2 linked regions of the Notamacropus eugenii genome follow. The protein of the gene in region 2 interacts with the protein of the main gene of each other region in a pairwise test. Links are inferred from orthologs where the notes say so. Each region holds a gene or a part of one and is shown on either strand. Other genes may lie near its edges.

Region 1 (8,613 bases), on a different chromosome or scaffold from region 2:
CTATAGACAATTAATTACTCTTTTTGTAACATTCCTTGGTGGCAGATAATTATCAACTGATTTTATCTCAGACTTGAAAATCTGAAGCAGAATGCAAGAATATCCTAATCTTCAAATGAAACCCTTTATAAAAGTGCCAAAGTTTACTTTGCCTTGGTATGCTAGCGTAGTACAATGAAATGACGACAAAGAAATTGAGATATGGGGAAATAAATTTAAAAGGTGGTGGAGGCTTACGGTTTCTTAGTCATGACAAGAACTTCCTGTTACACAGCTGCATGAAAACACAACATACTTTGGGCTACATACTTGTTTAGGCAAATGTGAAACCCTGGGTATAACTGGCAGTGTTTGGGGAAATTATCTGGATTTTTATATGCTAAAGAGATAGTCATTTCTTCAAGTCTCCAAAAGTAACAAAATTTTAAAATAAGAATCTATAAAAGATCTAAAATTAGAATCAGAATATTAAAATTAAAAGAAATGTTAGAAATCATTTAGTTCAACTTTCTCATTCTACAAAACCAAAGCTAAAATTATAAAATTTCTCATATTGTAATAAAAGAAGCCTGGATTTGAAATGAGTAGATAGGGGTTCAAGTTCCAGCTCTGCTATTCACTATCGCTATTACCTATTTTCACTAATGTTGGTACTTCCTCTGTCCCTGATACACATAATTTCAGGAGTTTCTGAGACCAAGAATATTCATTACCAGAAGCTTGCCTAGCTGGTGATGAATTTTTTGACCCTAGGAACTACAATGTACCTCTATGAATTTATCTCCTCAGCCAAACACATAGAACTTGTGGTCTCACATGCCTTCTAGGATGCAATTAAACAAGAAAAAATTACAAACAAGAAAGCAGACACCTGTGCACTTTTTGATAAGGCATATACCAATTAAAAAAAAAAAAAGGAATAACCCTAAAAGCCCTACTAGAATACACATATAAGCCCCAAAGGACTATAAAGCTATTTGTACTCTTTTACAAAAACTGGATAAGGAAATAAAAGTAGTTTTAAAAAAACGGGCAGGGGAGGGATCAAAAAACTTCAGTATTCATCCCTCATCTTTTATTTTTGGGGTTTTGTTTTGGGCAGGCGATCAAAATTAAGTGACTTGTCCAGGGTCACACAGCTAGTAATTGTCTAAGGTCAATTTTGAGCTCAGATCCTCCTGATTCCAGGGCCAGTGCTCAATTCAACTGGCCACTTAGCTGCCCCCCATCCCTCTCCTTTTAAAAGTAACAAAATAGGCAGAGAGAAAATATATAGTTGCATAGAACATGGGGAGTAATGCAATTTATTTACTGGTAGAATGGAGATTCTAAAATGGTACTTTAACCTTATTTTTCCCAATACAGAGAGCCAGATGGAAAGACACAAGACAGTGCTCTATCTCCTTGCATCCAGTCTCTCCTCTCTCCAAATCCTCCTTCACGGTATAACTGCTAAATTGATACATCCAACTTACAGGTCTGACCAAGCCACTTCTCTTGTTAAAGAAGCTTCAGTAACACTCCACTGCCTTTAGGTCAAAATACAAGTTTCTCCACTAGACATTTAAAATCTTGCACAATCTAGCTCCAACCTAGTTTTCTGGCATTATTCAGATGACTCCCTTTCAAATATTCTACCTTCCAGTCAAATTGGCCCACTTGCCATTTTCCGTATCTTAATTCTTTGATTTACAGGTTATCTATTGGCCTCCCCCCTCCCCACTCCCCCATGCAATGTGCTGCAACCTCACTCATGCCTTTTGGAACCCCTACTTCCCTTCCAGGCTTAGCAACTGTCACCTCCTACAAAGCACCTCCTTATTCCCCCAACTGGTAGTGGCCCTGACATCACTGCACATTTTCAAATATATATCCTTTATTTATAAGGCAAAGACTATCTCACTTTTTTATTTATATCCTCAGCTCCTGGTACATAGTAGGCACTTAATAAAAGTTTATTGATTACTGTTTTCCAAGAAGCCATTAATGGAAGACTGGCTCTTGGCTGTCTGAAAATAACCCTGGCTTTCATCAATGCTGCTACCCTACCAACAAAAGTACAGTAGTCATCTCAGTGCTTTAAGATGATGCTCTCTCCCCACTCCAAGACCTGCCTTCTTTTTTTTTAATCTGCAGAACTGCTTAGACCACATCTCTGAGGATTATGATGAACAGGATTAGTAATAAGAGAACTAAATTACGATACAAAACGTTAAAAACCTTAAAACAGAAGTGACATTTCAAAGTTTGATTAACCTCATACTTTATAACTAAAAAGACCTGTTTATACCCAAACCTAGAGGTTATCTGTGTAATGCTCTTTCATGCACCGGCACCATCACCAATATCAACGTGTTTCTGATTCCTTTTCCCCACAATCCAGGGGCTAACCCTGCTGTCCACAAGCTCACAGCCAGGTAACTACACCGTAACATTTTAAATTCCCTCTGCCCGTCCAGCCAGCCATCCCTTGGCTTCACTTCCTGCAGGAAGGCTGTTAACAGCACCCTGCTGTCATGCAGAGAGACGAGTCAGCAAAGTGTCAAGATACACTTGTCATAATGAAGGGGCTTTCTCCCCCACCCCCTCCAAAGCCAAACCAAAACAACAAAACAAACAACCCCTCCACCGCTGCCCTCATCCGATCGTTATCCGCCTTAGTCACAGCCCGGAGGAAATCCCGGAAGACTCCAGAGCAAGATGGACAGCGCACCGGTCCCGAGAGCAAGGGCAGGTAAACAGACGCGGAGGCGGCCGAGGGCGGTGAGGGGGCAGCGGACACCTCGGGCTCCCACGGCCCCCTCGGGCTCCCACGGCCCCTGCCCCTCCGTCCTTCAGTCCCTCACCTCAAACTCGCGGATGTTGTTGGAGGTGACGAAAACGCCGATGCCGATGGGGATGAAGATGAGGCCGACGATGAAGAAGGCCGGCAGCACGGTGCCCGCGGTCAGGATGGGCTGCCAAGCCGGGAGCCGCTGCTGCTTGAAGGCCGTGTTGTCCGGCCGTCGGCTCTTCGGCCCGCCGCCCCCAATCGCATTCCCGGGCCCCGCATGGCTGCCCACCACCAGGCTCGACCCGTGCCCGCCGTCCACCTCGTCCTTAGCGTTATAGTTGATCGCCATCAACCCCTGGGGCCCGGCTCCCGGTCACGCGGAGGAGCCTCCGAGGGGACGCAGCCGCCGAATGTGACAGGAGACCGGGAGGGGGAGGAGGAGGAGGAGCAGCCGCCGCTGCTGTCGGGGCGGAAGGGGCGGGACGCCCTCGCGCGGGGGACCGCTGAACCGGAAACTGGCGTCAGCGGGGGGCGCCAGAGGAAGGGAAGGCGGAAGGGTGAAGAGGCGGAGGGGAGGGGCGGATGCGCGGTCTGGATAACCGTCCGCCTGGCGTCTCCGGGGAAGCTCGTACCCGCAGGAGAACTGACGGGCCGGGCTTGGCGCACGCGCAGCCGCCGGGCCCCTGCGCCTGAGTGACGCGCGACGCCCGCCTCCTAGTTTCCCTTACGGGTTTAACCTACGAGGTGCAGTTGTCCTGGAGTTACCTCCCAGCCTCCTAGGTTGTACCCGGAGATCGGAGAGGCCTAGATCTAGAACCTGAAGACCCTTTAGCAGTCAGCTAATCACAACAATCACCCCAACTCGTTTTACTAAAGCCCGGAGAGTGATTTGTGCAAGACCTCCCATCAGTGGCAGAGCTGGAATCGAACTCGGGACCTTGACGCACCTTCCGCTTTTGAAGGCCTGGAGAAACTACTGGGAAAGAATGTTGTTAACGCGTGTCCGACTCTGTGTCACCCCACGCGACCCCACGTTGGTGGGGTTTTCATGGTCTGCCATTTGACTCTGCCAGGCTCACGCACCACGTGTCTGAGGCCACATTGGAACGCGGGTGTTCCCGACTCCAGCTCCAGCTCCAGCGCTGTGCCCACCGAGCCACCCAGCAGCCTTTGTAAGGGAGGAGGAAGCTTTGGTTTTCCCAACGGGCCAGAAAGCCCAGGACCTTCCTTGGTAGACCCCCCCCCCCCCCCCCCCCCCCCCACCTCACTCAACTGCAGAAACATAAAATGCCTGAGCTTGAAACAGTATCAGCGTCAGACAGTATCAGACGATCCTGGCCTTCGGGTGGCTAGCGAGGAAACTTGTGTCCTGCGCAGGGGACCGGACTCGCTGGAAGTGGTCTCACTGAGTGGTCCCTTGGGGATTGTTGGAAAAACATTGCTATGGAACAGAACCCAGACTCAAAAGCAACAGTTTTTAACGAATCAACATTTCTGCCTGCTAATTTCCTCCTGAAAGCCACTTAGGATCTTCCCTCTTTGTTTCCCATTATGGAGTCATCCTATCTGGGACATAGCTGCTGGATGAAGGCGCTCTAACATCCACTCTGGGGATGACAGGAATTTTTGTTTGTTTTTCTTTGTCTAAGGAAGGCCAAGAAAGGGAAATGGAAGGAAGTGTGTGTGTTTGATAGTTGGCTGTTCTATATTTAAGTCAGTAGGATAGCCTGCGATTCTTTGGTGGGATTGGTTGGCCCTTGCAATTTTTAGTATTTCCTTAAAAGCGTGTTGTACTGAAACGTGGCAGCATCTATCACTGAAGTCAGTGAATGGTTTTACCCTACACTTGTTTTGATCTGTGCTGTTTTGACCTTGTCCATAGCTTTAGGTTTGGGAGGGAGGAAGCATGAAGCAAATAATCATTTATTTCTTTCTGTTAAATAACACGGTAAAAATGCATGCAATTATAAAGTGGATAGCAAATATCAGGAACAGTTTCTTCCAGTGTGGTACTGGCCTTCCTCACCCTCACTACAGAGTGGACTCAATGACCTCTAAGTGCCCTTCTAGCTCTAAATATATGGGTATGTGGGAAACAAGGAAGTTCTGGGTGATAAGAGTTGTAACTTAGTATGGTCAGGTTAGAGGTCAGAAGCTACTCCTAGTCTTTTATTTAAGAAAAGTGAGAAGGTCACTGGATGGCTAACAATGATTAGACCAGGTAGAGGCAGCTAGGTGGAGCAGTGGATAGAGTACCAGCCCTGGAGTCAGGAGGACCTGAATTCAAATCCAGCCTCAGACACTTTCTAGCTGTTTGGTTCCAAGCAAGTCACTAAATTGCCTCCAAACAACAACAAAAAATTAGACCAACAGGTTACAGTGAGTGCTGGATCTAATGACTAACCTAGATTTGAGTCCTGGATTTCTACCACCCCCTCTGTAACCTTGGGCAAGTCATTCTACCTGGTCGGCCTTAATTTCTTCATTTGTAAAATGAGGGAAGAAACAGGGTAGGGAGGAGATTTAACCAAATTCTGTCTGGGAATCAAAAGGCCTGTGTAGAAAGGGGAGGAATAACTTACGTAATTTGTGTGTATCCATAAAATAGGGATAATAATAGCACCTCTACCTCAAACAAAATAACAAAATGCTTTGCAAATCTTTGAAGCACTGTATAAATGCTAGATGTAATTTATACTATTTGTATTCTTTTGTAGATGAAATAAAAATTGTCCTATATTATTTTTTTAATAGTTTTAGAGGAGTTTGACCTTTTAAATGACATCTATGAAGACTTAAGCTATCAATCAAGTCATAGTCTGATATTTCCAGGAGAAAAAAGTGTTTATTAAGTACTTAGTGTAAATCACTGTGCTAAGGGAGAAACTTGAGTAGTATCAAAGGCCAAAGAATGGTTTTTGAGAAGCCAAAGAAATTTAATTTGGTCTTTAAAAATGCAGAGTACATGATTCTTGGCCACTAGGAAAGAAAAAAAGGGATAAAAAAATTCAACAGTTTAGGTTGAAAGCTTAGGAAAATAGGAACATGGAAGAAATCTGCTTTCTTTTTTTAGCATTTGACAAAATTATCATACTAAAAACACATTTGTTTGTTAGATTCTTTTGAAAAAGTTAAAAGATGTTTTATCCTTCACAACTAAATAATTCCCCACTGGAAATTAACTAAATGCTCCTTTATCTTAGTTGAAACTTTCAACCTATACTGTTGCCTCTTTTATTATCTTTCACCTTTCATATTGGCCCAGAACTCTACAAATTCTCCTAGAAATCTTAAATATTTGAGTAGTTCTTGATTTGCAAGAAAAGACCAGGATTATTTTTCTAATTAATTATGGAAGTCTCCGCCAACATCCCCCTACTTCCTTATCATAGCATGGAAGTGACCCTGGGTTCTCAAAAGCTATGTCAATAGGACATAAGCATTGTTTGTTCCAGCTATAAAAACTTTTGATTATGGTCCCAATGACAATGTCAAGAGGCAACTAGGCAGCCCAGTGGATAGAGTGCTGGCCTGGAGTCAGGAAGACCTAAGTTTAAATCCTACCTCAGACTCTGGGCAAGTCACTTAACCTCTGTTTGCCTTAATCCACTGTGGCAAGCCACAACCATAATTTTGCCAAGAAAACCCCATGGACAGTATAGTTCACAAGGTCACAAAGAGTCAGATACAACAACAACAACCAATGACGAACTCTTTGCTACCTTTCAAGCAGTCCAGCTAGATTTTGAAAGGTAAATCAACAGGTTAGCTACAAATTGATACATATTTTGGCTACAACAACACACAACTCTTTTGTTTTCCTTTTTTTTGTTGTTTTTTTCTTTTTCGTACTTTATCGATGACCTCTCCCCTTTTTCTTTTAACAACACTGCCTGCCAGTTCCCAATGATTCTCCCAATAACAAAACCATCTCTTGTAAGAAATAAGCACATTTAAGAAAAACAAATTAACATATTTGTCATATATGAAATTACATGACTTTTTCTACTCCTGCACTCTGCTATTTTTCTGTAAAAAGGGAAGAGACATATTTCACCATCATTCCTGAGGTCAAATTAGTTACTATGTTGTTCAAAGTTCTTAAGTTTTCAGTATTGTTGTCCTTTATATCAGTGTTGTCATTGTATAAATTGTCTCCTGGTCCTGCTTTCTTTGCCCTGTCAATTTATATAAGGCTTCTCAAGTTTCTCTGAAGTCTTCATATTTGTCATTTGTTATAGTAAAACATTGTTCTATTAAATTCATATATTACAGTTTGTTCAGCCATCATCCAGTTGATGGGCAGTTTTTTGCCACCACAAAAGTGCTACTATAAATATTTTTATACATAGAGAGCTTTCCTGTTGCCTTTGACTTCCATGATACATAGGCTTCACTTTGATATGTATGTACAATTTAGTGCTTTTTCTTAGTATAATTCCTAATGATATCCAAACAGGTCAGTTTACAACTCAGCTATCAATGAGTATCTTCCCATAACAACTCCAACATTTACCATTTTCTTCTTTTGTCATATTTACCAGTCTTATGGTACAAGATAAAAACCTCAAGGTTTAATATACATTTCTTCTATTATTAATGATAATGTAGCAATTTTGTAGGGCAATTAGATGGCACAGTGGATACAACAGTGGCGCTGGTCAGGAGGACCCGAGTTCAAATCCAACATCAGACACTTACTAGCTATATGACACAACCCTGTTTGCCCTAGTTCTTCTTCTATAAAGTGAGCTGAAGAATGAAACAGCAAACCGCTGTACTATCTCTGCCAAGAAAACCCCAAATGAAATCATGCAGACTATGAAATGACTTCACAACAAAAGAAGTATTTTTTCATATAGTTGATGGTAGTTTGCGTTTCTTCTTCTGAAAATTGTCTATTCAAGAGATTACTTCAAGATGGCAGAATAAATGAGAGCAGAAGAGCCCCACTCTCCTACTCCAGAAAGGATGAAAAATTAGCACCATACCAAATAATGATCAAGAAATCTAAAGAGAGATTGTGTTGCATTTTACAGCCTATGGTGACACAAAAGAGAAAATCAAAAGCAAAGGATTTTAGCAAGAAAAGTCCACTTCAAAATCACACTGAACAGAAGCTTTCCAAATCTGGAATATGTAGCTAAGTACCCAGGAACAGGGAGATAAGAACATGGATTTACTGGTTTAACCTACTAGATGCAATCTTTTCTGAGGTTACCTTCAAAGCTATATAGCAATATTACTCAGAACTCAGACTGAAGGTCAGGAACCTGCAAGGTTCAGATCAGGAAGGCAAAGATAAGGTCAAGCTATGGATTATCCTGGTATAGATTGCTGTCCCAAACTTCTAGATCTTCTTGAAGAACACAACGTAAGAGTCCCTGGAGGAAGCAGTGACAGAACCCTACAAAATGATCAGTACCAAATAAGACCCCACCATTGCTTCCAAAAGTATGCAGTCTGATTCTGACACAAAGTCTCAATTTAGGAGGTAGGACTGCAAAAATGAATAAACAAAAGAAAACCCTACTGATAAATATTGTATCTCCAGGAATACTGAAGCCACAAATTTAGAAAAAGAGAACTCCACACAATACACAATCTACAATGAAAACCTCAAGCAAAAATACAGTTTACTACAAGTTTTACAGAATTCCTGGGAAAAATGAAACAAGTTTAAAAATAATATAAATGAAAGCACTGGAAGAAAAAATAGGAAATTAAACGAGCCCAAACAAAATTATGATATGACAAAACAACTACCTAGTATCATATTTCAAGAAATCATGAATGAAAACTGCCTAGATCTACTGAAACCAGAGGGCAGTGTGAAAACA
Region 2 (8,246 bases):
AATCGGAAATGCCTTTGATATATATTAGCCATGGGATCACAGGCTAGTCACTGTTTCTCAGTGACCCAGACAACTCATATATAGCCAAACTTCCTATTTGCATTAGTGGAAGAAGTTCCACACCTATAAAATCACAGGTCTAGATCCCAAATAACAGCAATTTGAAACAATCACAAACCCTAGTCGGCAGAAATAGCTAGAAAGTGAGGCAGGAATTTGTGAGTGTGGTGTGACTTAGCAGGGCAGAGAAGCATTAACTCCCAAGACCTTCAAAACTCTATGAGCATGACGAGATCCTCAGGCATTCTACAATCAACAGAATCTCTGTGTGTCCAGAACAGCAGGTTTGCCAGAGTAATGAGACTGGGAGTTGCTTATCTCCATCAGCCAGTTTGGACTGCACAGTCAGGTTGGGTAAGGCAAAGTGAACTGGTAGACAGACGGAAAATAATTCTATATTTCCTTTCTCTCTCTCTCTCTCTCTCTCTCTCTCTCTCTCTCTCTCTCTCTCTCTCTCTCTCTCTCTATTTCTTTATTCTCTTTATTTCTTATAAAAATAGGAAAAGAACTTACCTCATAATTCTTCTACAGCTCGGTCAATTGCCTATGCAAAGGCAATTTCTAGGTTCATAGAATTGGACCTTAGAAATCACCACCTGTGGCAATCAGTGTTTTGATTCTCTATCTCCAGGGCCTCTCTTTTCCTTCCCCCACTGTTTAAAGGGCTAATTGGGTGTTTCAGGCTGCAATTTACTTTAGAATCTGCCTTTGACTTTATGAAACCCCAATGCCACTGACGGCCTGGGAGGTATGTTGACAGTGGTTTCTGAGTGTTTTCCAAATTCAAATCCAAGAAAGGAATTTGGCAGGAGTCATTGAGGATTGAGTAACAGACATAAAGAAATAACTTAATGAAATATACTTTTCATTAGTGTGGCCCCAGGAATCATTGAAGAATGATTTTAAATTTGGAAGGAACCTCAGTAGTCATATAGCCAAATTCATACCTGAACAAAAATTCCCTCTTTAATATATTCAACAATTGGTCATCAAGCCTTTCTTTGAAGACCCCAGTGAGGAGGAGGGTTCCACTACCTCCCAATGCAGCCCATTCCATTTTTGGATAACTTTAATTATTAGACATTCCCCCCCATTCTTTCTATAACTTCTACCAACTCTTCTGCTCATTGGGGACCAATGGAATAAAAACAAAGCCTCTTCCATATAGAAGAGCCATCATGTCTCCCCTCCTTAGTTTTCTCTCATTTGAGCTAAATACTCATAGATCCTTCAAATGATATGTCATAGGGCATGAACTTGACTCTCAAAATTGGTCATTCTTATCTGAAAACTAGTCTTGCCTTAAATATACTGTCCAGAATTGACTACAAAACTCTCTAACTGTGACCTGACTAGGACTGGGTACAGTGGGATTCTCACCTTATTCCTGGACACTAAGTTTCTCTTAATGGAGGCCAAGATCACTTTAGTTCCACTGACTGCTATATCTTAACTGACACATATTCACCTTGAATCAGTCTAGCAGCCCTTCCCTGTTTTTTTTCCCCAAACAAATTGCTGTCTAACTATTCATCCTCGATTATGCAATTCTGAAGTTGTCATTTGGACCCCTGCATAACAATTTTTTTTCTCTATTAAATTAGAATTGGGGACAGTACAGATTTGGTATGGCAGGGAGAAGAAGTCCCCTCTTAGAGCTATCCTCATTACCTTTGTGTCCTTTCAGGCCCCCTCATTCTAAATCCAGAAAGACTTAGAATAAGTTACTACATCTATTGAGTTGCTTTCTTTCCCTTTACCTCATACTACCTCCTCCTTTCAACAAACCAACAACTAACAACATGCCAGTCAGTACTGCCTAAGGTGGTCAGGACAACTGGAAATAGAACCTGATATGTTCTAAGTGTATTGGGAGAAGGGGTAGAGTACCCTCTATGGAATCATTCCTTCCCATTCCCCAAACCTGCCCATCACACATGAACAGTGCCAATTTACTCCCAAATAACATATGAAGGCACTAGCTGGCAAGGGTCATTTCTGCTTAACAGCTTATGCTGAACTTAATCTCCATCTGAGTTGTAGACCCTTGGAGCACAGAGACAGCTCAGATGGAAAGGTTTAATTTTTAACCATTCATGTACTTATTATGCAGAAATCATTTAGTGTGTATTTGTTAGAAGCAGGTTGCTATGTTAGGTGCAGGGAAAGAGGTACACTGCCCCTGCTCTGAAGGGATCTAAAATCCAGTAGGTTGTAACCATTAACATCTCCACCATCTTCATCCCCCTTCCTCATCACCATCACCAGTTAATTTTGCTCCTGCTCTGTGTAATAGACTACCCCATTCCCAACCTCATAGAAGGAATCATCTTTGTAAGTAAGAGAACCCTTGATAGCAGCAACTAACACATCCAAAGGCAACCTCTAATTAGGTTCATAGAATATTAGATCCAAAAGTTCCCTTAGGGGTCATCGTATCCAAGCCTCTCATTATAAAGTTGGGAAAATGGGGCTCCAAGAAGTTAAGTGACTCGTCTAAGGACACACAGGTAGTAAGAAGCAGAGCCAAGCTTTGAACCAAGGTCTTCTGGACCCAAATCCAGTGGTTTTCCCACTGCACCAAGCTACCTGTTTAAACCTGAGATAATTAAAACTCATTTCAACTTGTGACAACTCCCCTACCTATCTCAAAACCAATGATAGATGCTTGATTCCAAAGGGTTTCATAGGAGTCATCCCTCCAATTCCAGTGCTCAGACTGAGGATGGTGTTACAATGTAGAGGAACTATTGTGGTGTCTAGAGAAAAAAAAATCAATGGATTTGGGTTCAAATCCCAGTACTGTTCCTTATACCCTCTGTGACCTTTAAGTAAACCGTTTCCACTTTCTGTGCTTCTCTTTTTTCATCTGTAAAACTAAGGGAGTTGAATGAGATGATCTCCCAGATCCCTTTGAGCTCTAAAGCCTATGAACCTCCACTGAAGGAAAAGAAGGACTCAGGATTGTAAGCTTTTCCAGGGTGTCCTTCCATCTGGAGATCGGTTGCCCAGGAAAAAAGGGGGCAAAGATATTCCCCTTCCTTCCCAATTCATTCCAAGCACTCAGCTCTCAGCTTACCTCCTCTGAGCAGGTTGCACAGCTGTGACTCGGGAGGCAGGCAGCGTGACTCCCTGCTGTTAGGATGCTTTAATGGTAGTGGGGGGAGGATAGAGCTAGCTAACAGGTTCCACTGGTTATCTTACCTCTTCTATGGGGTAAAGAGGAATAGGAAAGGGGGTGGGGTGGGGCAGAGCTCCTCCTCTTGGTGGGACAGGCCTAGAAGTGTCCAAGGGAAAAGCAAGTGGGAACAGCTCCTCCTTGGAGAAAAAGTCAGGGCTGCAGTTCAGAAAACAGTCACCTTGATCCTCCTTACCACGCGGGGGTCCCCTACATAAAGGCACACTCAGTAAAGTCCCTCACAATCTATTAGTATTCCATTTTCCCTCCCTCTTTACCTCATTCTGATTTTCTCTTCTTTCTTCTCTCTATTCCTGGGCTCCACCCTCCCCCCAATCCTGTCCTGAGTGTCTTTACTCTCTCCTTCCTCCCTCCTCCTCCCCAGTTCCTAGGAGTTCCCTGTGCAGCCGGTTCAACTGGCTTGGTTCTCCCCCCACAAACCCCACACCCATGGTTACTTTCCTTAGAGAAGCCAACTTTCAAGATACCCACTGGTAGACGGGCCTTTGGCTCAGGGCTGATTATCCGCTGTCACCCCTACCCCACCAGATCCAGGGATTGGGACCCAGGGAGCAGAAACCTCATTTCTCCCTTTCTCTGGGTCTGGAGGACTTTCTAAACAGGCAAAAATCAATTCCCCTAAACCGTGAACCTCACCCAACAAGCCCTTCTTAAGTATACTACTATGTGCAGCTTGGAACTAGTGTCTAGGGATCCGGAGCCCAAATTGAAAGCAGCCCACGCCCATAAAGAGATTGCATTTGGGGGGGGGGGCACACAATCCACAAGCAAACAAATGCATGTAGCCTGGGAGGATGGCTGCAGCTCAGTTTTTGCTCCTACACCCAAAGGACCTATGGAAGGAGAGGGAGGGAGGGTCCTCTGTGTCTATGATAGGCTAGTAACTTGAGGAAGAGTGGATGATAATAATAAGATGGCATTTATATGGTGACTTAAGGCTGATAATGGGCTTTCCATATATTGTCTTACTGGTTCCTCACAACAAACCCTATGAGATTAGCACCATTGTTATCCTAGCTTTAGAGAGATGAGGAAACTGAAGCTAGAAGAGTTTAAATGCCTGGCCCAAAGTAACCCAGCTAGTAGTGTCTGAGGACAGGTCTTCCTAAGAATCTGTTCCCACTGTCAGGTCCCCAGTGAACCCATAGCATATTCTTTCAGGTTTTCACTTTACAGAATTTGAGACAGCTGGTGTGGTAGAAAGAGCGTGGACTACTGAGCCAGGCAGCAACCAACTAACCAAAGATTCATTGAATCAACAAATAATCTTGTCCCTGTCCTGTAAGTAGCTGGCTCTGGGAGGTTGTTTTAGTCACTAGGAGAGGCAAAGTGGCATATGCTGAGTCTAGAGACAGAAAGTCCTGGGTTCATGTCCCAACTTGGCAAGCCACTTAATTTCTCTCTGCCTCAGTTTCCTCATTTACAAATGTAGAAAATAGTAATGTGAACCAGCTGTGTGTCCCTGGTTCAATAACTTAATCTTTCAACCTCAGTGAAAGGCTGTTTATATATCATAATAATATATAACATTATACCTAATATTATATATAGTAATATATAAAAGCAATAACATGTTTAAGATGGAGTTGAATAGACTGTTGGCTAAGATCCCTTTCAGCCCTTACAGGTTATCATTTTATCACCTTATTCTGTAATGTCCTGGCTTTATCCCTTCATCAGCATCCTCTTCAGCTTACAGATGGCTTTAATGGGATAGGCTGCTGGAGACAGGAGTTCAATACATAGTTCCTGAAGCAATGACTACAGGTGCTTTTGAGCTCAGTGGAATGGTGGGAAGGATGTCTTGGACAGATCAAATTTTCCTCTGATTTTCCAGTGACAGGCCATATCATTTTATTTTATTGAGGTTTTATGGAGATCAACAAGGCAGTTTAAGCAATGCCTCCAGCCTATTATTAAAAAGCAATTAGCCATTCTAATAAATGGCTGTTCCAGTGAAGAAAATGATAGTGTTAAAATGTTAAAGGAGAAACAAGGCAGACTCTTCTCCCTTTCTCTTCTTGATCTCTAAGGGGTTTTAAGAATTTTACGATTCCATTGCACTTCTCTGTTGATGAGGACTGCTGTGTTTGTCCCCATGGAGCTGAGAGCTCTGGGGGAATTTCAACTTTGGGAAATTTTGCTAAAAGGTAGTGACCATATTCTCTGATTCCTAGAATGGAATCCATGTTTTTGCTCTGCTTCATCTCTGATGAGATCCAAATACTGTTCTGACATCACATAGGTCCTCTTGAGGGCTTCAGGCTCCCTCTCCTCCCAGGAATGTCCTGGCTTCATCCCTTCATCAGCATCCTCTTCAGCTTACAGATGGCTTTAATGGGACAGGCTGCTGGAGGCAGGAGAGAATATGAATTGTTTTTCTGTATCCATTTACCATTTTCTGATTCAGGTTCAACACTAGAATATGGTCCTCAAATTCTGACAGATTTCTCATGTATATGTGTATATATGGGTGTACATATACATATATACATATACACACATACATTAACTAGACAGCCACCCTGGTTCTAAATATCTTATCGGAAAGGGCATAGACCATAGAACTTAAGGATTTTGATCTGGAAGAGATTTTTGAAATCAGCTAGTCCAGAGCACTCATGCTATAGAGAAGGAGGGAGGGAGAGAGGGAATGGGGATGGAGAGAGAGAGAGATTGAGGTCCCTCAGGTAGTAAGTAGTATTAGGATTTGAACTCAGGTCTTCTGGCTCCAAATCAAATGTTCTTTCCATGATGCCACAGGAAATCCAGAACTGGAAGCCATGAACCTAGTGGACACTCAATGAATCTTCAAGGATGGGAGTGTTATTATCTTTCTTTTACACTGGGGAAATGCATTTCCCTTTTCTTTCCTTGTCTATAGCTCTGAGGTTCAATATGTGATGAAACAATGAAATACAGCAATGTAGTTGTGCTCAGAGTTCCATTTTTCCATATCTAGATTACTATAATATTTTCCTAGTGCTGGGTTCCCTGCCTGTCTTTTTTTTTTTTTTTTTAAAGATCAGATCATCCTGTATTTTGCTGTCCTTAAATGTTGTTTTCATTATGTTATTTTTTCGTTCAAGTAACGATCAGCAAAGACTTCTTACTATTCCAATGTTAAATCTACACTTCTTAGAATGGCATTCAAATCCCTAGATAAGCTAGCTTGACTTTTGTTATCCAGCCTCATCTTATTTCTTCCTGGAAAAGAAAATACAGTCTCACTTTGAAAGCCGGGGAAGTCTTGCTCTGGGTTTTTCTTCATAATATTTTACCTATTGAGAAGACTCTAGTAATTTCCTTTCAATTCATATATATTTCCTCTCTCAGAAACCAGTTTGAGTAATTTCTTCCAAGAAGCCTTCCCTGGTTAATCTCACTGCATTCTTTGTGCACCCTCGCTTACTTTGTGTTCCTTCCTGTGGACCCATGTCCATAGCTGGTGTTGTGTTACCTCATACATTTATCCCTTCCACATCATAGGGATTAGTGGTACAGTGCCCCTGTGATCTGGAAAATCCTTGTAAAATGTTTTGACTCTCCCTTCATACCAGAGAAGAAGTCTGCATTTTTTCTTTTTTTATGGGGTGTTTACAGTATAAAAAAATTATTATATTGTTAAATTATTAATTAATATTATATTATTATATATTATATTTATATTATGTATAATATAATTATAAAATTAATATTATATTATTAAATTATTAAAAATTATATTATTATAAAATTTGGGTTGTTATTATGTAATCCTATACATATATTTTATGCATTTCCAAATGTCTAAACTTTTTCTGCGTTGTCTGCTGGCTTTTGTGTGTTGTCTGTGGCTTCTGTAAAATTCCCCCCAAATTCCAGTTTAACTTCGTATGCTGACCTGCAATATATTGAAACTGTGATGGAGAAAGTTGCAATGTGGAACTGATACCTGTATAAACTGTTGCTCCCTAGGGGTTGTGCCTTCCAACTGAATTGTACCCTCTGCATAAAAAGGGACTGGGCTTTCTACTTCTCTGTATTATACACAATAAGTACTCAGTCTATGTCAAGAATATTTTGTAACCTACCAGTGGTAAGTACCTTTGATACCTTGAAACATGGCTAACATCTATCAAAGGCTATATGGATTGGGTTTTGGAGAGAAAAGAGCTCCGGACTGTGAATCAGGCTTTGGGCTAGTTACTTCTCTGGGTCTCATTTTTCTCCTTTGCAGACCAAGCGGGCTATGCTTGCTGACCTTTTAGATTCTTACTACCCTGTAACACATTTTTTGAGCTTAAAGAAGCCCCAGTGGTCTAGTCTGACCCTCTCATTTCATAGATGAGGAGACAGAGGCCTGGGGACACAGAACAAGGATGCTGCTGGGCAGACTGCTGCATGGTGTTGGGGGATGAAGGGAGCTCACACCATTCTACCATCTTGCACCTTCCTATTATCACTAATTATACTTGTTAAATTGTTACTAAGACCTGCTGTTTCTAAAATGCTGAAGGAGTAAGTCCTGTTATTTTTTGATGCTGAAGAAATACAAGTGCTCCCAGTGAACTTCCAAGTTTAGTATCCTGCGGCAAAACCTCTATTGCTTCTCCCTAAGTCTAGGGAGAAGACCTAGCTTCTACCTAGGTCTCTGAACAGGACGTTCCTGATTTGAGAAAAAGTCGAATAACTATGTGCTTTCCCCCCCTGATTTTTCTATGCAGAGTTAAAACACTCCTGTCTAACTGAGATGTGTTAGTGGTCTCTAGTTAGGTTTTGTTAAGAATCTCCACCGTGTCTCTTTCTGGTCATTAATGTATTGTAAGGTGAGCTTGATTATATCCCTTGTGCCAAACACTTCCCTTCCTTTCCCAACCCCACCCTCCCTTGTCCCTCAACACATGCTAGGTAAAGTAAAGGGGTGAGGGGAACAAACTATAACACAAAAAAGCCATTAGCTGAGCATTTGCCCTTGTCAGTGGTGAGGCTGATGAAAATGCCAAGG

What was found.
Region 1: the proteins of ATP10B (region 2) and TMEM30A interact in a protein complementation assay, tested with the Homo sapiens proteins (2 studies listed by IntAct, with this or other methods). The link is inferred for Notamacropus eugenii from reciprocal best matches to the Homo sapiens genes ATP10B and TMEM30A.

Annotation. Positions count from the first base shown.
Region 1 is NC_092873.1:145,189,067-145,197,679, forward strand, and holds the start of TMEM30A (cell cycle control protein 50A), read right to left. Parts: upstream 3,262-8,613; 5' UTR 3,123-3,261; coding exon 2,847-3,122; intron 2,735-2,846; exon of another isoform or gene 2,460-2,734; intron 1-2,459. UniProt on the Homo sapiens protein: Accessory component of a P4-ATPase flippase complex which catalyzes the hydrolysis of ATP coupled to the transport of aminophospholipids from the outer to the inner leaflet of various membranes and ensures the maintenance of asymmetric distribution of phospholipids.
Region 2 is NC_092872.1:390,273,122-390,281,367, forward strand, and holds the start of ATP10B (phospholipid-transporting ATPase VB), read right to left. Parts: upstream 3,189-8,246; 5' UTR 3,140-3,188; intron 1-3,139. UniProt on the Homo sapiens protein: Catalytic component of a P4-ATPase flippase complex, which catalyzes the hydrolysis of ATP coupled to the transport of glucosylceramide (GlcCer) from the outer to the inner leaflet of lysosome membranes.